4 linked regions of the Arabidopsis thaliana genome follow. The protein of the gene in region 3 interacts with the protein of the main gene of each other region in a pairwise test. Each region holds a gene or a part of one and is shown on either strand. Other genes may lie near its edges.

Region 1 (5,231 bases), on a different chromosome or scaffold from region 3:
CAACTACAACAAACCAACTCACAAATTAATAAACCACTCAACACATCATCAATAACAATGTCACTTCACAATCAATCTTTTTAACTAAAACCACTCAAAGACATAAACTTTTGTTAGTCTTAAGCATGAATCCAAACTAATCCCAATCCAAAAACTTGCCTTTAAGCAAAAGACTAAATCTTTACCAGATCCAATTAAGAATGCAAGAAGCAATGATCCAGTAGATCGGATAATACGACGGAGATCAGCTCTAAACAACAACAATGGAATCGTATGCGGCAAGAGAAACTCCATGAAGAAGCCATACGACGGCGTTTCAAACGGAATTAACCTTAAATTGCTAGCGGCGAGCCCAAGTAACGTACTTGTCAACGCACCACTCACCATACTTCCAATTTTCGTCTTCTCCGACCTAATGAAGTCGGTAATTTCATCAGTATACAAAACCCTAGTTTCAACAGAGAGGATTGAGGTGATTTACCAGACACCGAAAGCTCCGGCGGCGAAGAGAGCAGCCCATTGTGACCAGTGATCGTCTGGGGAGATTAGAGGGAATCGTAGTTGTGAGTAGACCTTCACGCGCCGGCGTCGAGATGAAACAAGACGATGTGGAGTGAGTGTTACCGGCGGCGATTTGTTACGGCGTATGGTTATTGATGATGATAAGTGGTGGCGGGAAGGAGACACGTGGAGCGATGAGATTGTGGGGGACAGTGGATTTGGTGATACCACTGTGAATAGAAGAGCCATTGCACTTTTTAGATACACCAATTAATGTTTGAAGTCCCATATTATACTTTTGGAAACTTATTTTTTTTGTTTCCTTATTCGGCTAAACAAATTTATTGAGATATCAAATTGACGAGAAGCATATTAATATACCACATAATGAATATGATAAAAGTTTAAAATAAAATTTAACAATATTTTTTTTCTAAAACTTTACTCTATTTTCTATTTTTGTAATCTATTTCTTGATACGAAAAAAATAACAAATAAGAAATAAATAAAATCGATAAAGAAAGTAACATAACATAGGAAGACGAAATATATAAGAAGAAAATATAATGAATAGTATGAAAAAAGAAAAATAGTAAAAAAAAATTATGATTAGCTTCGTTTGGTGGAATTCTCTTCTTTTTAGTGTTTTCATGTATTTTATTGTCTTCTTGTTTATCAAGAAAAAGAAGTTAATCTAGACTTTGATAAAATGATGGATCATGGATGCCCATAAAAAGAGTACTTCTAATTTTTTTTCTATAACTTTTTTAAAAAGGATGCATTCACTATAACAAGGTTTGTTGTATGAATAAAATTTTACATACACTCAGAAAAAAGAAGAAAAAAAGAAGAAGAAGAGTACTTCTAATTTGGTGACAGATGCTTCCTTATATTTCCTTCTAATTATTAAATTAGTATCGTTTAGGTCTATTGGAATTAATGAGTGAAATATTAAACCTTGCCTACAATACACTAATTAATTTATTTTTTGTAATAATGTGTCGGTCCAAACCTTGTTAGTTACGCAATTAATACCATAATAATCACACCACCTACGATGAGTTAATCCGTAACACCACAAATTATATCTCAAAACTGTTTCTATCTAATTCAAAAATGAATCAAACATCCCTACTCATAGCGTACACAAATGATTAACTAAGAATTACCAAATCAGTGAAAATCAACTATATTTAATAGAAAGCAAAACTTTTTGAAAATGATTGCCACCGAATCACAAACAAAATCAGGTTTAAGCTTCCTTTGGTTTCCCATTGCTGTTGACAAACTTCGCTGCCTAATGATTTCACAAACACTTTCTCTTTCACTTACCTTTAGTGGGAAAAAAATACGAATACAGAGAAGTGACAGCAAAAACCCACTTTCTAGTTTCTCCATCTCTTCTTCTCTTTAATATCATCAAACCAAAACCTTTCTCAAACCTTCCCCAAAAAAGCTTCACTCTAATGGCGTTTCCAATAAATCTAACCCAAACCCTTCTCTTCTTCTTCTGCCCTCTTCTTCATCTCTCTTTCGCTGCTTTCACTCCAACTGATAATTATCTCATCAATTCCGGTTCTAACACCAATACATCTTTCTTCACAACCCGTTCTTTTCTCAGCGACTCTTCAGAACCTGGCTCGAGTTTTCTCTCCACCGATCGATCCATCTCGATTTCTGACACGAACCCATCTCCAGATTCACCCGTTTTGTACAACACAGCTCGTGTTTTCCCCGTCGGAGGATCATACAAATTCCAAGTCACTACCAAAGGCACTCACTTTATCCGTCTCCATTTCGCGCCTTTTAAAGCTTCGAGATTTAACTTAAGGTCTGCTAAATTTCGAGTTTTGATTAATGGGTTCTCTGTGATTAACAGTTTCAGTACTAGCTCCGTCGTTGTTAAAGAATTCATACTCAAAATCGATGACCCTGTTTTAGAGATTTCGTTTTTGCCCTTTAAAGCTTCTGGATTTGGGTTTGTTAATGCGGTTGAAGTGTTTTCAGCACCTAAGGATTATATAATGGATCAAGGAACGAAGCTTGTGATTCCTAACTCTGCTCAAATCTTTAGTAACTTGTCATCTCAAGTTCTTGAGACTGTTCATAGAATCAACGTTGGTGGTTCGAAATTGACGCCGTTTAATGATACGTTGTGGAGGACTTGGGTTGTTGATGACAACTATCTTCTCTTGAGAGCTGCTGCTAGACGTGCTTGGACTACTCATTCTCCGAATTATCAAAACGGTGGTGCCACGAGAGAGATTGCTCCGGATAATGTTTATATGACTGCTCAGGAGATGGATCGAGATAATCAGGAGTTGCAGGCAAGGTTTAACATTAGTTGGGGGTTTCAGGTTGATGAGAAACGAGTTCTTCATTTGGTTCGTTTGCATTTCTGCGATATCGTTAGTTCGTCGCTTAATCAGCTCTATTTCAATGTCTTTATCAATGAGTATCTTGCGTTTAAGGATGTTGATCTCTCCACGCTTACTTTCCATGTGCTTGCGTCTCCGTTGTACATTGATTTTGTTGCGGAGTCTGATCGTTCTGGAATGTTGAGGATTAGTGTTGGACCGTCTGATCTTAGTAATCCGGCGAGAGTTAATGCTCTATTGAATGGAGTTGAGATCATGAGGATTTTGAGCCCTGTGAGTTCTGAAGTGGTATCTGGAAAGAGGAATGTTGTCTGGATCGTGGTTGGCTCGGTTTTGGGAGGTTTTGTGTTCTTGTCGCTGTTCTTCTTGAGCGTTTTGTGCTTGTGCAGGCGCAAGAACAACAAGACGAGGAGTTCAGAGAGCACGGGATGGACACCTTTGAGGAGGTTTAGAGGCAGTTCCAATAGTAGAACAACTGAAAGAACTGTTAGTTCTAGTGGCTACCATACTCTGAGAATCTCGTTCGCGGAGTTACAATCCGGAACCAATAACTTTGATAGAAGTTTAGTTATCGGAGTTGGCGGATTCGGGATGGTTTTTAGAGGGTCTCTTAAAGACAACACCAAAGTAGCTGTGAAGAGAGGCTCTCCTGGTTCAAGACAGGGCTTACCAGAGTTTCTCTCTGAGATAACCATTCTCTCTAAGATCCGTCATCGCCATCTAGTTTCACTTGTTGGGTATTGCGAAGAACAGTCTGAGATGATTCTTGTTTATGAGTACATGGATAAAGGACCACTCAAAAGTCACTTATACGGATCCACCAACCCGCCTTTATCTTGGAAACAACGGCTTGAGGTCTGCATTGGTGCAGCCAGAGGACTTCATTACCTTCACACCGGTTCTTCGCAAGGAATCATCCACCGGGATATCAAATCCACCAATATCTTACTAGATAACAACTATGTAGCCAAAGTTGCAGACTTTGGACTCTCAAGATCCGGTCCTTGTATTGATGAGACACATGTGAGCACCGGTGTAAAAGGAAGCTTTGGATATCTTGATCCTGAATACTTCAGAAGACAACAGCTCACGGATAAGTCCGATGTTTATTCATTTGGTGTTGTTCTTTTTGAAGTTCTTTGCGCTAGACCCGCTGTTGATCCGTTGCTTGTTAGGGAGCAAGTAAATTTAGCAGAATGGGCAATAGAGTGGCAAAGGAAAGGGATGCTTGATCAGATCGTTGATCCGAATATCGCAGATGAAATCAAACCGTGCTCGTTGAAGAAATTCGCTGAAACCGCAGAGAAATGCTGTGCGGATTACGGTGTAGATAGACCGACAATTGGCGATGTTCTATGGAACTTAGAACATGTGCTTCAGCTTCAAGAATCCGGACCATTGAACATTCCTGAAGAAGATTATGGAGATGTTACCGACCCGAGAACGGCTCGGCAAGGTCTGTCTAATGGCTCGAACATAGAGAGAGACTATGGAGATGGAACTTCAGGCATAATCAGTAGCACCCAAGTGTTCTCTCAGCTAATGACCAACGCTGGGAGATAAATTAAAGTCATTGCTATATAGAGCAAGTATTTATCATAGTCATAGAGTACAATACCTAAACCGGGAAACCAAAGCGGTGTACCGGTATCTCAGATTCGGTTCGTGTTTGGTATAATTTTGTTTGGTTTCTGTAACTTGTAGAGCTATGATTGTTCATTTGATATGGATGAATCATAAACCGTTAAAACCAGTACATTATTTGGTTAAATATTAAACCGGTTAAGAGTGGAGAAATTAAAAACCGGAATCTCAAAAGTTCTTGATAAACCGTAAACCCTGTGAAGCCACAACGCTCAGAAACATTTCTGTCTCTGTGGAGACAGCTGAAGAAGCAGCAGCACTATCAATGGCGTCTCTGAGATTGTTCTCAACGAATCATCAATCTCTTCTCCTTCCATCATCTCTCTCACAAAAGACTCTAATATCTTCACCAAGATTCGTCAATAACCCTAGCAGACGGAGTCCAATACGATCCGTTCTTCAATTTAATCGCAAACCGGAACTCGCCGGAGAAACGCCGCGTATCGTCGTTATCACCTCCGGAAAAGGCGGTGTTGGAAAGACGACAACCACCGCAAATGTCGGTCTCTCTCTCGCTCGTTACGGTTTCTCAGTTGTCGCCATTGACGCCGACCTTGGTCTCCGTAACCTCGATCTCCTCCTAGGGTTAGAGAATCGAGTCAATTACACTTGCGTCGAGGTTATAAACGGAGATTGTCGTCTCGATCAAGCTCTGGTACGTGATAAGCGTTGGTCGAATTTCGAATTGCTATGTATATCTAAACCTAG
Region 2 (6,018 bases), on a different chromosome or scaffold from region 3:
TCTGATTCTACGGGAAGATCAACTCCCTCAAAAGCTTCTCCACCCTAGGACCAAGAAGAAAGCAAGCAAACCGGTTAGTCTCTTCGTGTCTTCTATCTCAAACTCAAATCTGTAACTTTGATTGAAATCTTAAGGTAAATTATGCTGTTGTTTGCAGGGTGATGAGTACTTCGTATCAGATGATGTGTTCTTGAACCATCATAGTGATAGAAAGGCGCCATTGCAGCCTCCTGTGAGAAAAGCTATGTCGGTTTTCAGCCAGAAAAGAAACCCTAATGACAACCATTACTCTCGTTCTATGCACTGATCTTTGTTTCTCCTACACAACAAACATCTCCTGTACTTCAGATGCCAACGATTTTGTCTCTTTTTTGTACTTTTACTTTTTCTTTCTGATTGTTGTTTGAAGTCCAAAACTAGTTTGAAAAGGTGAGAGTTTATAACTTTTTATTCGGTTCACAGATGTATTCCTCTAGTTTCAAGCTACCTGTCATTTTTTTCTTTTTTGGCTCAACACAATTTCATTCGTCAAGAACTTGGTATACAAGATTACACCTCCAGTTTATTGGTATTAACAATAGACCGACCGTAACAACCTACCTGATAACTTATCCAAGGCATGGTCGGTGCTATCAAAACCGAATGCAAAATTGAAGCAAAAATGTTCGAACAAGTGTATGTCAATGTCATAACAACAAAGCCAATTTTATTTACTCCTATCATCGTCGTCTTCGTTAGAAGGCGAGGCCAGCGCTAGCTCGGCCCACGCCAGAGAAGACGATTTGAATTCTGCAGAAATGGACACAGTGATTCTACTCTCTAGTGTCTCACAAAGCGCTTGAATCGAACAAGAAAGCTTATCCTTGTCTTTTTCATTCTGGTCCAAGTTCAGACATTGGCTTGCCACTTCACATACTGCCTCAAGTTCTTTTTGCTTGAAATGCTTGAGCTCAGGATCCACCAAGCTAGCCATCACATCTGGTGCACCAAGGTTTTTCTCCCTTACCTGCAATATTTAGGAGTTTGAATCAAATCCTCAGCATCAAACGCATGAAAACACGTAAACCGCTAAGAGAGAGAGAGAGACTTATTATAAGTACTCAGCTTTAAGCTTATAGAGAAAAGCTATTCTTACCCATTCAACCAAGCAACCTCTGTCTTGGCAATAAGAAGGTCTTCCGCTTACAATTTCCAGCAAAAGTATGCCAAATGAGTAGATATTCCCTTGTAAATCCATATCTCGGTGTTCCATTGCATTGGGAAGTACACATATTGCTCCTTCATTACAGATATTCTTCAGGTTCTTCTCTGATCTCACCTGAATAATCTTCCAGCATTCGAAATCAACCAGCTGCATAGAAATAAGAGGATCAAAATAAGAGTATAGAGATAGTAGCAAAGCTTAGCTAACCGCATAGAAAAAAGAGGATCAAATTTACTTTGGGAGTAAAATCTTCAGTGAGATACACTGCAGTTGAGCTCAACTCAGAGACTGTAAATGGAGGATGGAGTTCAGTATGAAGGTACTTGAGACCACGTGCGATGCCTATAACAATTTTCATGCGTTTTGCCCACGATACTAAACTCCCGTCCGCATCTGCATCAAATTTTTATCATCATTTGGTATCATTATCAGTCCTACCAAAGAAAGAGCTCTGAAGAAGTTTGATTATATATTACAGTGGAGATGGTCGTATAGTGTCCCGTTTGATGCATACTCAAACACAAGCATTCTTGTGAACGGTGTACTCTCTTTACAGTATCCCAGTAATTTCCCCGCATTCTCATGGTTTAATCTAGCCAAAGCCGCAACCTGAAACAATGAATATTAATAAAATCAAGTTTAATACTGATGTTTTCTTGCAAGTGACTTGGTGATAAACAACCATAAGAAGAAGAACCTCTCTCTGGAAATTAAGCTCAAGATATCCAGTCCAATTTTCTTCTTTAACGCAGAGAGAGATAACCGCGATCTCAGTCCCGCCTTTGATCGTTCCTTTGTAAATCTGACTCTCTGCACTAGAATCAATGATGTTGCTGAAGTCTTCACATGCTACTTCTAGCTCTTGTCTTGTATATCTTGAAACATCCTTCAGCATTTCAGAATCTGTAGAAAAACAGTTTATCAGTAATTTTTTCATCTCTGGAAGCTCTTTCAGTTATTTGTATTGAAATCTTAGAATTTTTAAGAGTTTCTAACCAACGTAGACCGTGAACTTCTCCTTTTCACTTGCAGATTTCTTCCAGGGAACGATGAGAGAGCGCTTTATTTTGCACAAGCTACATGCAGAGAACATTACGACTAGAAAGAGCAAGCCAACTGATGATCCCGTGACTATCTCAAAATTCCGAAGCCATGTTTGTCTCGATGCTCGATGCTTCTTCTTGGCCACGGTTACAGCTAAGCGAGCTAACCAATTGAAACAATTTCAAAATGAAAAACAAGATAAAGAAACGATTATCAGCATCAAGAAAGTGAAACTCATATTCTACAAACCACATTCTGAAAGAGGTCTCTGCTTAACATCCATGGTTTTCATGCAGTTTCCTTGAAAGCTCGTTCTACAATGATGTTCAATGATACAGAGAGATATTATCAAATGAGAAAAATAAAGGAAAGCTAGAAAAAGGGTCTTATAAGAAATACATTGGGAGGTAATCCAAGCAACTCGGAACTCTTCCCTCGAAAAAGTTGTAAGAGAAATCTGCCACTTTAAATAGAGAAGACTTGCACAAACCACTGATGTTTGCACTTGGATTTGAAGCATACCTGACCAACACAAAAAGAAGATACATTAACATTTCAATCATAAACATTAAGTTTCCATCTTATGCTACCTTGGACTATTAGCTAAACTCACTTTTTTGATGTTTTCGCGGCAATAGGAATACTTCCTCGAAGCCTATTCCTGCCAATAAGAAGTTCTTTAAGGTGCTTCAAGTTTCCAATCTCTGGAGGTAACTTTCCTATTAAACCATTGGACTGAAGGTTTCTGTGGTGTTAAAGAGACACAAAATGGTTATCTCAGCACATTATCGGATAGATGACATTCTCTTAAAGATTTTCTTACATTGTCTTAATCCTTGACAATTTCCCGATCTCTGCTGGAATCGGTCCTGTCAAATGATTGTTTCCCAGGTCTAAGATCTTGAGTTTCTTTAACTTTCCTATCTCCTTTGGTATTGTCCCCATTAGAATGTTCCCACGCAGGATCCTAAAGAAGCATTCAACACAGAAAAAACAAAGTCATCTAAACATTTACAAACAGTACCAATCATCAAACTTATATCTTCAGGTATTGTCAATATGAATCAAAACCATACAGTTCTTGCAAGTAGGTTATTTGACCAAGTTCTGGCACAAGAAACCCTCTCATCGATGTCCCCGATATATTTCTGCAAGTTTCACAGCATGAAACAGATACCAAATCATCATCATACTAAACATAACTGATTTTACTGATAGAAAGAGATCAAAGTTTCCTACATCTTGATAATGTGATCCTTAGATGGAGAACATTTAATGCCATTCCAATCACAAGGACTCAAATTGGGGACATTCCAATTAGACATAACTAGCAATGGGTCCTTATAAATGGCTTCCTTGAATCTTCTAACTGCTTCAACTGAATACAAAACAGCAAAACATCAAATACTTCTAAATGATCAGTAACAAAACTAAAGTTTCTAACTTTCTAGATCAACTCAATGAGCAAGTGTTAACAGACAGAGGCTAAAAAGACTAAACTTTCTCAGCATCCAAAAATTGGAGAAAATGGAGAAATCAAAATACCTTCTTTAGAGGCAAACGCGTCACAGGAAACAAAGAGGAACCCTAGAACAAGACTCATAAGAGAAAGCTGCATCGTTGAAGATAAGTAAAGTCTCATTCTTTTTTCCTCCTTGCTCAAAGATTTCTTCAAATTCTAGCAAAACCCAGAATTTCTCACATTATAGTCATCACAAAAGACCAAATAATCTCCAGCCTCCAGCCTCCAGGAGACAATTAACAACAATGACAAGAGCTTAAAGAGCAAAGCAAGATTTAGCAGAAAAAGGAAAATGCTTTAATTAATAATATTACGGGTATTTAGCAAAAAAACCATTAAAGAAAAAGAAGTTTCTTAGTAAGTAACAGAGATGGTGACAAAAGAGAGAGACTTGGATTCAAAGACAGTTTTTTTTTTGTTGTTGTTCTATTCTAAACGGAGAAGAAGACATTTTGCTTTTCAATTTTGTCTTTTAGAAAAGAAAGATATCACTTTTATTTAAATATGTGTCCCTATAACTTTGACTAAAATTAAGATTATTCCACATTTAATTAGTAATAGATCCCAATTTTATGTAATGAAATTGTTTTATATTTCTTTCCCATCTAATGCATGTTCACACTTCACAGTAATATCTCTAATTGTAAGCCAGAAATAAATAAATTTATTTAACTGTAATGTGTATTTTGTATACAAGGAAAAATGTATCAACATGCATCTATCTGTGAAACATTTATAGTCAATATATAACCTGCTTAAAATGTGAAAGAAGACAAAATATTATTACATTAAATAAAAACAAAATATATACGTTTCCAATAAATTTTAAGTGTTGGATAAAAAAATGTTAGTGTTGTAGCTATGTCGTAATGTAGATTTCAATTTGATTTATGTCTATATTATGAATTATAGACGATATATATAATAATTAAAATATCATTTTAGACCATTAAACTATTTGAAAAATTTCCATATCACATTAACTCAACTGATGAAAGATTTAACGTTTTGTTTGTTTTTTGTCGGCGATTTCAACTTTGTTTAATAAAAGTCTAACTCATCATTCATTATAGAGGAAAAAAACAGATTTTCAAAAGTGGTTATATTCCTCATAGCCTCCTTTTTATTAATTAGAATTTACAATCATTGTTGGCAAACAAATAAAAGAAAGGTTAACACAAATCACAAGAATTATATTTTCTTCTTTATTTTATTTTTAATATTTTAATTATTATTTTTGCACCTTTTCTTAAACTTTATCATTTAGTTTAATAAAGTAAATTAGGATTGTTTGACAAAAAAAAAAGTAAATTAGGATTAGAATATATAAAAAAGGCCCTACTGTAACTACTCTAGATTTCTTTCTTATTTTTAAATATCACTATCTATTAAAAGTATATTTGTTATTTTTAATAACATGTAATATGCGGTTTTAATTATGTTACAACAATAACATTAACACAAATGAATAGACTATTTGTTACCAATTTATCACCAAATATTTGTAACTCTTTACTGTTTTAAATCTATGTAATGATTATGAAAATCATTTAGTTTAATAGTTGATCAAATGTTTATTTTCTTACAGTCAGTCTGGGATTCGATTTTGTTTCTAAATGAATTATTACAATATGTCTAAATGTTGTATCCAATTATATTTATTCCTGGTGATTCATAACATCGCTTATATATCAACAAAATTAAAGTATTCATATATTTTTAAAAAAATTGTGTGCAACACATACAGAAAAAATGTATATTTCGTAACATATAATTAAAAAATTCATGTAAATTATATGACTGCAAATCAATTTCCTAACAGAGAATTACAAATTCATATTTTGGATAAAAGACAAATATTAAAATAAAAGATATTTGGGACTACAATTTGCAAAAGTTCCATGTTTCTATCTCTCTTTCTTGAGCTACTATGGATAGTCTAGTTAAAACCTTTAAAAAAATAGTAAAAGAGTTTATGTTTAAGAACCCTTGTCGACCTTGGCGGCTGAAGCAACAACTTGACCTTTGACTTTGAGACGACCAGTCCTCCTAGCAGCGATAAGACCAACCTTCTATCCATGAGGTGCATCACGTCTAAGTGTACTGGCGTGATCAATGCTGATTGATTAAATCCTCTATGAGGATGCTCCATTGGATTCATCATATTCACGTCACAAACCCTTAAGATATAGGTTTCTTTTCACCGGTGTTTGTGGTACGCGTTACTTTCACCTAAAGTCTTGGGTTA
Region 3 (3,390 bases):
GGCTGTATAACACAGCGAGTTTCTCATTTCTAACACAAGATAGAGTCAAATATTCAAAACGACGAGATGGAGGTTTAAACAGCATAGGCAAACGTGGTCCCTTTCGACCAAAAAAGTAAGTATTTCCCTTCAAAGACACGCTATTGTGACTAAACAGTTCATGCCAATCTATATCAATATCAAGAACCCTCCATGAATCAGAGCTAAAATCGTAAACATCAATAATGACGTTTCTTGGACTCCCCTCATAAAGAAACCTCAAAATTTTGTGGTTACGGTTGTTGTCGTATCCAAGAGCAAACTTGTCATATCTGTGGAGTTTTTTTCTTGGTTGAATCAATTTCGTCTGCCCTAAATACGGATTCCATACCATAACACTCGAGTTGTCTTTGGCGATGCATAACAATAAGCCATCACAGTGATAGACTTGAGATATCTCGACTTGATCAACTTTATTAGGTATACTTATTTGCTTTATAGATAGATCAATCAAATCTTCTTCGCTACGGATTCCTTGAAGATCTAATCTCAAAGAACAAACCCTAGAATCTGTAACCATGAACTCCAAGAACTGATTCTTTGCTGCTGCTTTTTTACCTAAGATGTCATATTTCGATATAGCGTTCCACTTTTTACAAGTAGATCTCACTGCTCTTAGAGATGTCAATGGAACCCTAGAAAATATTTCTCTTACCAAATCATCCGGTAGATCGGTTACTGTCGCCATTCTTCCTCCAAGTTTTCAGCTTTCTCCACAAGTTTAATGTCTCATTGACCTATTCGGTACCCTAATATGTTTGTATATGTGTTTTGGTTGGGCTTGTAATAAAGTTTTGCTTTGGCACAGATTTTTTAAATGGGCCTATTATTTGGAAAAAAATAAACCATCGAATCCTTAACTATATCATATGGTAAAATTACGAAATCGTTTAGCAACTGATTTTCAGTTTTACTTAAAAACTACGAAGCTCTTGATTTAGTTCGTAGAGTGCACCACCACATATTTAGTAATCTCTTTATAGATCAGATGATATGTGACTAACATAAATTTCCAGAGTAGATGAGTGATGACTATATATTAATTGGGAAACTTTGACATCTATCACTTTTACGATTCCATTTCTCAAAATAAACTACTAAAGACTTTTTTTTTAAAAGGATGCAAAAGAATCCTAAGATAGAGTGTTTTGAGAAGTCTATTAGCCCATGGAACTAGAGTTTTAGCTAGCAAAAGCATATAAATTTATGGTTAGAACATCCATGGAAGGTAACTTTGTTTGAGAGTTGTCCTCTCAAAACAACTCTCTTCCTTCATCTTAATAAGAGTATCAATTTCGAATCATAGTGTTCTTGGTGACAACGAAGTAATATTTTCTCTATCAGTACCCTTGCATCATAAAGTTTTAATAATCTATCTAAGTTCTTAGTTTCTATCTTAATAAGTTTGAATCTTTCTTCTTTTGAGATTGCTTACAAAAAAATCATTCAAGAATCAATTTATAAAACCTTATATAACTTTATAAATATTTTCTATAAAATGTATTTAAAGAAATTATAAATCCTTTTGTGGTGTTTTTGAAAAAAAAAATTAGTGATAGTTATGAAATGTATCATAAAAATTGTAGTTTTCAAATTCTTCCTCAAGAATTTGATTATACGGGTTGTTGCTGAACATAGAGATGAACAAAAAGAAGATATGTGTTGAAAACATTGGAATGTTGCCAAAGTCGTCATCCTAACTAAACCAATATACCGAATGATTTATTGTTTTTGTTTTATTATCGAATTAAATACAAAAAGATTACTGTAACTGTTGAACAACCTCTAGTCTTTCTAATATATTCTGATTAATTCAACGTTATAGGTGAGGAAGGTAAGATGTTGGTAAAAGTCATGCATGGAAACAACTTCACAAGACAAAACTTTGATATAAAATAAAGTACATATAATACATGTTGGTGCATTAGTATTACTAAATACAAAGTTGTAGATCCATGGGAGATCAACAAAAAATTCACCCGGTTCTTCAAATGGAAGCCAACAAGACGAAGACAACAACACCAGCTCCCGGAAAGACAGTCTTGCTTCCGGTTCAACGGCCGATTCCGCCTCCTGTTATTCCTAGTAAGAATCGAAATATGTGCTGCAAAATCTTTTGTTGGGTGTTAAGCCTTCTAGTCATTGCATTGATCGCGTTAGCAATTGCGGTTGCGGTTGTATACTTTGTTTTCCACCCTAAACTCCCGAGTTACGAAGTCAACAGTTTACGAGTTACCAACCTTGGAATCAATCTAGACCTCTCTCTTTCCGCGGAGTTTAAAGTCGAGATCACAGCTCGTAATCCCAACGAAAAGATTGGGATTTATTACGAGAAAGGAGGTCATATCGGTGTGTGGTACGACAAGACAAAGCTATGTGAAGGCCCTATACCGAGGTTTTATCAAGGACATCGCAATGTAACTAAACTAAATGTGGCTCTAACGGGAAGAGCGCAATATGGGAACACTGTCTTGGCGGCATTGCAGCAGCAACAACAAACAGGACGTGTACCGTTAGATCTTAAAGTGAATGCACCTGTCGCCATCAAACTCGGAAATCTGAAGATGAAGAAGATTCGGATATTGGGGAGTTGTAAGCTTGTTGTTGATAGTTTATCAACGAACAATAATATCAACATCAAAGCTAGTGATTGCAGTTTTAAGGCCAAACTCTGAGATGTTCTTAGATCTAGGCGCTTTTACTTTTTATTGGTGTTAATTACTCAATTCATCATTTTCTTATGCATTTGATTCATATTTTGGATTAATGGTTTTATTCTCAATAAAAGATTGATTTTTATTTTTTAAATTACGAGAGATTTTTGAAATTTCAAAATATTGCAAATGAATGGTTCTTTTCCGCTTAACATAATTTCTATGAAGTAGTCGGAACGAGACTCTCTTCTAGAGAGAGAGAGAGTCATTCAGGAACCGACGTGCTTACATGGGAAAAAAACCTATTGCGATCTCATGTCTTTTTCCAAGGCAATCGATCCGCACATTAAAACGACGAGAAAGAAAATTAATACTAGAAGAGGGAAAAAAACATACAAGGGAACCAAATGTCGTCATCTCAACTACAAATGTTGGCTACACTGAAAGTTTTTCAATAGAGATAAGATCTTCACGGTCGAAAGCAAAAGAGCAACTCGTAACACCTATCGAGATTATAAATTCTATTGCCCATAGCATGGAATCAACTTCAGCATGAATGGTTTGGTAGTGTGAATCACATCTATACTATTTTTTCAATGGTAAAACTTTCGAAAATTACAATAGAATTGAAATATAAAATTTCGAGAAAATTCAAACGATCTCGAGTTTAATTCATCCCAAGTAAAAAAAGAAGTAA
Region 4 (5,765 bases), on a different chromosome or scaffold from region 3:
GGAGACGTTGAGGTCCCAGCATCTTTAGCTATTATAAAATGTCATCAGGATGAAGTGTTGGAACTTCCTGAGTCTGCTACACTACTTGCTTCTTCTGAGGTATGTAACGTCGAGATGTTCTCTATTGGAGATCATTTTTTCTGTATTCAAGGGCATCCAGAGTATAACAAAGAGATTCTGTTTGAGATTGTGGACCGAGTCCTTAATATGAAGCTGATGGAGGTTTGTTCTCCTTCTCTATGATCTCTATTTTTGCTAGATAAACATTTCGGAGTGTTCTTGTTCTCAATGTAGTTAGCCTTATCAAGAATTGCAATGTGATTGATTTTTTTCAGCAAGAGTTTGCGGATAAGGCAAAGAGTACGATGGAGACTGCGCAACCAGACAGGATTCTATGGCAGAAGCTCTGCAAAAACTTCCTGAAAGGTTGATGATCCGAGACTATGTTATCTCTGTATGAACTTATCAAAAACTATGTCATCTCTCAATAAACCTGCAGTATCTTTCATATTTTATCTTCAGGAAACAGAAAGAAACACATATAAAACAAATCACAATCACAAATAATCTTTTATGTTACCACCTTTTTCTTTATCTTAATGTAGCAACACAAATCAAACAATAAAATTCAATCCGAGTTATACAAGTTATAAGCGTTCATAGACATTAGCACTTTTCTGGTAAAATTTGGTCAACTAGTATCATCAGCAGAGAAATCAGGTTCTGAAGGCTTCTGATATTTCACAAGTTCTATAGTAGACTTTGCTTCAATACGGTTCTTGTGAACTTTACGAAGTGCATTTGCAGCAAACTTTGAAGCCAGGAACGTCGCTCTGATGCTAGTAACTGATCCTTCTCCTTCTTCTTCTTCTTTCCTGAGTTGCTCAAGTTTCTTCTTCTTCACGTATCGTCGCCACGCGGCTTGTATGAAGATAGCAGCCCAAGTTCTCCATTGTTGCGAGTAGAATCTGAATGTGTGTTGAACTTGCCTGCTGTGTAGTCTTCTGAACTGGCTAGCCACAAATTTGAGCTCATCTGCTATCAAAGCAAAAGCCTCTACTTCAGTTAGAGCCTTTGCGGTTCTGGTAGAGGATGGTAGGTTGGAACCAGATTTGGGATCAAGTGCCCATGTCAAAAGCTCTTCCCCACAGAAATCTCCTTCTTTAAGCAAACTGCGGTTGAAGAAACCGCTTCTTCCGCCATCGGTGGTCACACTCTCAAGCCGACCACGGATAATGAAGAGCATCTCGTTAACCGGGTCGCCTTCCCGAACCAAATAAGAGCTCTCTGTGTACAGACACGGCTTCAACCGCTCACAGATTGCATCGAGCAGCCTCTCATCCATATTCTCAAACAATGGAACCTTTCCATAAGAAAAATAGAACAAGATGGTTTCATTTATGAATCAAGATTAGAAAAAGGCTTTTAAAGTAAGATTCAACTTACCCTCCGAACCAAAGCCAGACAGAGATGGCGTTTGATATCTCTTCTCAGATCCTTTGGGAGGTTCTGAACCAAATTCTCTTCATCAACTCCGCGTGTCTCCAACCATTTGTACTGGTCATATCGTCTGACTCGTTCTCGCAGTTCCGGTGGAAGCATTCGATGATGCATCCACTGTTCTGAATCACGTCTTTTCACTCTCATTTCTTCAAGCCGGATTGTAAGGGATTGAAGATAAGTCTGCATGTTTCCAATAAGAAGAGCAAAGAGAAGAAGTCCAGCAATGGCAAGTGCTATGGAGAATATAACTTCTCCAGGGTATGTGCTGGTTTCAAGCCCTTGACCAAGAGTGCTGCATTTGACATCGACAAAGTTACTAATGCAACAGAGACTTTTCATAATGACTATAGAAGACGGATTCTTTAGAATTACGTACCTGAGATTCTGAAGTCCCCACCATAAACAGAAGAAGTACTTAGAGACAAAGCTCTTAGATGAGACAATGCCAGAGGACAAGGCTCTTAAGTAGATCCCAAAATCAAAAGGAGGATTATCGGTTGTATTAACTGGGCAATTTAATTGCAGAACAGAATCTTTGATGGTAGTCCAAGCTGCATAACCATCCATTTTTTCATTACCACAAAACAGGAAGTTTCTGTGACAGTCCAAGCTGCTATTACTGCAAACCTTGGTCCAGCATCCATTATAACGTTCCAAGGCCAATAAGTACCATATAGCCCCAACAATCTGATAAAAACATAAGGGAAAAAAGAGAGAGTGATGAATGGATCTTTTGAGAATATAAGAGGAAAGCTACCAAAGATAGTATGTACTGACATGGCTTGCGAGCATGTAGAGTAGCAAGTAATAAGCTGCACCAGCCCAAGCAGTTTCAGCAAAAACACCAGCTGTTCTCTTTAACTCTGAGCTCAAAGGATACAACCGAATGAATCTTGGAATATATTGAACTAAAATGATAGATCGCAATGCCCGCTTTGTTGCTAGCACACTTGCACCTTTAGAGATGTAAAGAAATCTCCAAACTACAATCTGAAAAATCCAAAGAATAACATAAACTAGTCATAAAAATTTAGAGAACAAAGAAACAATGGAAGATAAGAGAACACTGGGAGAGGCATTTCTGTTATTACCTGTGGAAGTGGAAGCACAGAGAGAAAGTCAATGATGAAATACTGCTGCAAATAACGTTTTGCTATCTGTGCAGGGTCAATCACAAGTTCGCCTCGACCAAAAACCCGAGAAGAAGGGGCGACAAAAGCTGTTCTAAACCGAAGAGCCATGTGAAAAAGATAAAACGCATCAATTACTGTCCGCAGCGTTGTTGCTATAATAGCCAACTTCCGGTCTATACCGATACATTTCTCATTATCCTTAACAAACGGAAGATACAAGAAGAGCGGATCCACAGACACAGCGAGAATGCAAGAAGTAACAAACAGTTTGTTACAGAGCAAAAGAAACTTGTCCTGTGGATCAAAAATCTTCTTCTCTGATACTTTAAGATCTTCAGGAAAAACTGCTCGTGAAACCCCTAAACCAATTGATCTTCCTATAGACCAAAGACCTTTAGAACCTTTTCTAAACCCTTTCTTAAAGGAACCAGAAGATACATTGTTTCCCTGAGCACCACCACCACGTGTTGGTCCTTGTAAATTGAGAGTGCATCTGTTTAGACCAGTATCAGAAGTCTGCGAGTACCTAGAATCCATACTATCCAACCTGTGAAGAACAAAATAAACTAAAGATATCCATTTAGTTTCAAACCTGAAGTAAAGGAATGTCCTTTTTGGCTAAACAATATCTGAATCTGCTAGAATGATATCATCATGTTAAATTTCGATCAACTATATACAATAATGAGAGTTACCTTACAAACTTCTCGAGACGGCCACTGATTACTTGTGATTTGACTGCTTTTTTGCCACAGTCTAACATGCTTTTTCCTTGTGACTCAACTCATGAATCCCAAACCTGTTTTTACACACATAAGAAAATGTAATAAACATTTATGATCAAAATCATTTCAAGCAGCAAAATCCTAAACTTGCAATAAATATAAAAATAATTCAAGCACAAAAAATGTTATTGTTTGTTTACAGAATCTCTCTAAAAATCAAACTTGGTTAATGGGTTAAGAACATCCATCCATTTTCGTTGACCTGAGAACTCAAATTGACGGAAAAAACTTGAAAGGAACCACATTTTCTCCCCAAACCAAAACATCAACAAAAGGGTACAAACGAAAAAACTAAATACTTGAGTTTTCAGCATGAAAACGAGACGATCTTAAACGAGAAAGGTGTCAACCAAAATCAAGCAATGGGAAGTACAAAATGAAGATCATTCCAAACAGTAATTGGCTAAGAAATTAGGAGGGAATGCAAGAGATATACCAGAGAAGAAGACGAAGGAGAATTACGGTAGAAAGAAGTTACACGCCAAATCAGACGGAGACGAGAGAAGGGTGAAGAAGAAAGTGACAATGGAGTGGGAGGAGACGAAGTCGTTTCACAGATGAAAAAATATTGATTTTGAGAGAAATATCACAAAGACAGAAGAGAAGAAGAAGAAACTGAAAGTGTCTCCGTGCCGTCCGGGTCGGGTCCACTCTCTCTCTCTCTGCCGTCACGTCTTTCATTTTTCTCAACGTTAATTACATACACCAAACTATAGTCTATTAATAAATCACAGTTTCGTGTTTAAGAAACATAGGCTTTATCTACAATAATTTATATGTCCCTTATAAGAATGTCTCAAAACATTTACGAAAGAAATATACACAACTTGCTTAGGGATGGATCTGAAAAACGTTTTTCTCTATTGGTGTCGAATACCATTTTTAACCGGTTTATGATATGGTTTACCATAGAGTTTGTATCTGTTTTAAATTGTAAGAATATTGCGGTTCATAAGACTCTGGAAACAGTGGAACTAACTAATCTAGGTCTAGGCTCTGGTTTCACAGACCTTGCTCTTCGATAACAACCCCACTGTTGTAAACCTCTGCATCGGCGACGTTAACATCTTTGCCAAGAACCGTTATATTAAAAACTCGAGCCCACCTTCCAACGGTTGAATCCCATCCCACGATACTATTAGAGATACACGCATGTTCCTTGATCCACACACCGCGCATTACAGTACAACCAAACAATCTTACACCTGAATCAATCACACATCCCGGACCAATCACCACATCAGGTCCTATCAAGCAACCTTCTCCTATAACCGCACTTTCGTGCACGAGAACATTCCCGATTATGTTATCCCCTGTGGCCAGTTCTTGCGGAGTTTTCTCTCTTAGAGAGTTAAGGTACATTCTTTGCCCGGTTATGTAATCTTTCGGTTGACCAATGTCCATCCAAAAACCAGGTAGTACCATCGCGTAAAGCTTCTTCTCTGAAGCTATCTTAGGGAATATCTCTTTCTCTATCGAAGTCCTTCTCAGCTCAATCCTGTCAAGAACAGATGGGCTCAAGAGGTATATCCCAGCGTTGATCTTGTTCCCCACAAAATGTTTCGGTTTCTCGACAAAACTTTCAACTCTCGCTGTACCTTCCTCTGTAACCACCACACCATACTTAGAAGGATCATCAACCTGTTAATATCAGAAAATGCTATTAACAGATGAAAGATAAACTTCACAAAATGCAGAAAATGCTCCTGTTTGACTACCTCGGTCACCATGATTGATGCTTCAGCACGGTTAGTCTTGTGAAACTCGATCATCTCAAGCAATGGGTATTCACAGATAACATCGCTGTTTAGTACAAAAAAGGGTTGGCCTGATTCATCGACCAGCTTATCCCGAGCCAGCGCGAGAGGCCCTGCTGTTCCAAGCGGTTCAGTTTCTTGGGAAAATGTAATCTTAATCTCTAGCTTCTTCTCATATTCTTTCACAAAGTTCAACATGACCTGAGTAATACCAAACACACAAGGAGAAGGAGGATGACACGGAAGAATTTCAATTGTTATCGTATCGTTATTAAGGACAATGAATGTATGTACCTCTGGTTGTTGGTGATTGATAGCTAATACAACTTCAGTCACTCCAGCACCTTTTAGAGCTTCAATCTGCGAATGCATCATAATGAGAACAAAAGAAACTGTGAAAACTTGAGCAAATACAAAAGAAGAAGAAGAAGCTAACCTACCTGATGCAAAATCATGGGTTTGTTTCCAAAATCAACAAGTGGTTTAGGCATGCTCAAGGTAAGTGGCCTCAATCTGGTTCCGAATCCTCCAACTAGAATAAGAGCCTTCAATTCTGCATAAATATAACCAGATGATCTACTGTCATC

Evidence for each region.
Region 1: the proteins of AT1G54540 (region 3) and AT5G24010 interact in a protein complementation assay, tested with the Arabidopsis thaliana proteins (one large-scale study listed by BioGRID).
Region 2: the proteins of AT1G54540 (region 3) and AT5G41180 interact in a protein complementation assay, tested with the Arabidopsis thaliana proteins (one large-scale study listed by BioGRID).
Region 4: the proteins of AT1G54540 (region 3) and CNGC9 interact in a protein complementation assay, tested with the Arabidopsis thaliana proteins (one large-scale study listed by BioGRID).

What each region holds. Positions count from the first base shown.
Region 1 is NC_003076.8:8,111,943-8,117,173, forward strand, and holds AT5G24010 (Protein kinase superfamily protein), read left to right. Parts: upstream 1-1,811; 5' UTR 1,812-1,967; coding exon 1,968-4,442; 3' UTR 4,443-4,687; downstream 4,688-5,231. Other genes in the region: AT5G24000 (keratin-associated protein (DUF819)), read right to left, coding at 1-3, 186-412, 482-750; MIND (septum site-determining protein (MIND)), read left to right, coding at 4,789-5,231.
Region 2 is NC_003076.8:16,481,917-16,487,934, reverse strand, and holds AT5G41180 (leucine-rich repeat transmembrane protein kinase family protein), read right to left. Parts: upstream 4,176-6,018; 5' UTR 3,891-4,175; coding exon 3,794-3,890; intron 3,627-3,793; coding exon 3,488-3,626; intron 3,397-3,487; coding exon 3,325-3,396; intron 3,289-3,324; exon of another isoform or gene 3,216-3,288; coding exon 3,072-3,215; intron 2,994-3,071; coding exon 2,862-2,993; intron 2,771-2,861; coding exon 2,648-2,770; intron 2,563-2,647; coding exon 2,498-2,562; intron 2,411-2,497; coding exon 2,201-2,410; intron 2,108-2,200; coding exon 1,902-2,107; intron 1,814-1,901; coding exon 1,681-1,813; intron 1,598-1,680; coding exon 1,440-1,597; intron 1,352-1,439; coding exon 1,136-1,351; intron 1,007-1,135; coding exon 707-1,006; 3' UTR 508-706; downstream 1-507. Other genes in the region: AT5G41190 (RNA-binding NOB1-like protein), read left to right, coding at 1-73, 158-307.
Region 3 is NC_003070.9:20,367,026-20,370,415, reverse strand, and holds AT1G54540 (Late embryogenesis abundant (LEA) hydroxyproline-rich glycoprotein family), read left to right. Parts: upstream 1-1,904; 5' UTR 1,905-1,994; coding exon 1,995-2,714; 3' UTR 2,715-2,863; downstream 2,864-3,390. Other genes in the region: AT1G54550 (F-box and associated interaction domains-containing protein), read right to left, coding at 1-727.
Region 4 is NC_003075.7:14,926,283-14,932,047, forward strand, and holds CNGC9 (cyclic nucleotide gated channel 9), read right to left. Parts: upstream 4,074-5,765; 5' UTR 3,858-4,073; exon of another isoform or gene 3,721-3,857; intron 3,436-3,720; 5' UTR 3,400-3,435; coding exon 3,332-3,399; exon of another isoform or gene 3,184-3,331; coding exon 2,595-3,183; intron 2,494-2,594; coding exon 2,281-2,493; intron 2,191-2,280; coding exon 1,880-2,190; intron 1,796-1,879; coding exon 1,447-1,795; intron 1,364-1,446; coding exon 692-1,363; 3' UTR 552-691; downstream 1-551. Other genes in the region: GGP3 (Class I glutamine amidotransferase-like superfamily protein), read left to right, coding at 1-222, 336-431; AT4G30570 (Glucose-1-phosphate adenylyltransferase family protein), read right to left, coding at 4,424-5,062, 5,140-5,379, 5,473-5,538, 5,619-5,669. UniProt on the Arabidopsis thaliana protein: Putative cyclic nucleotide-gated ion channel.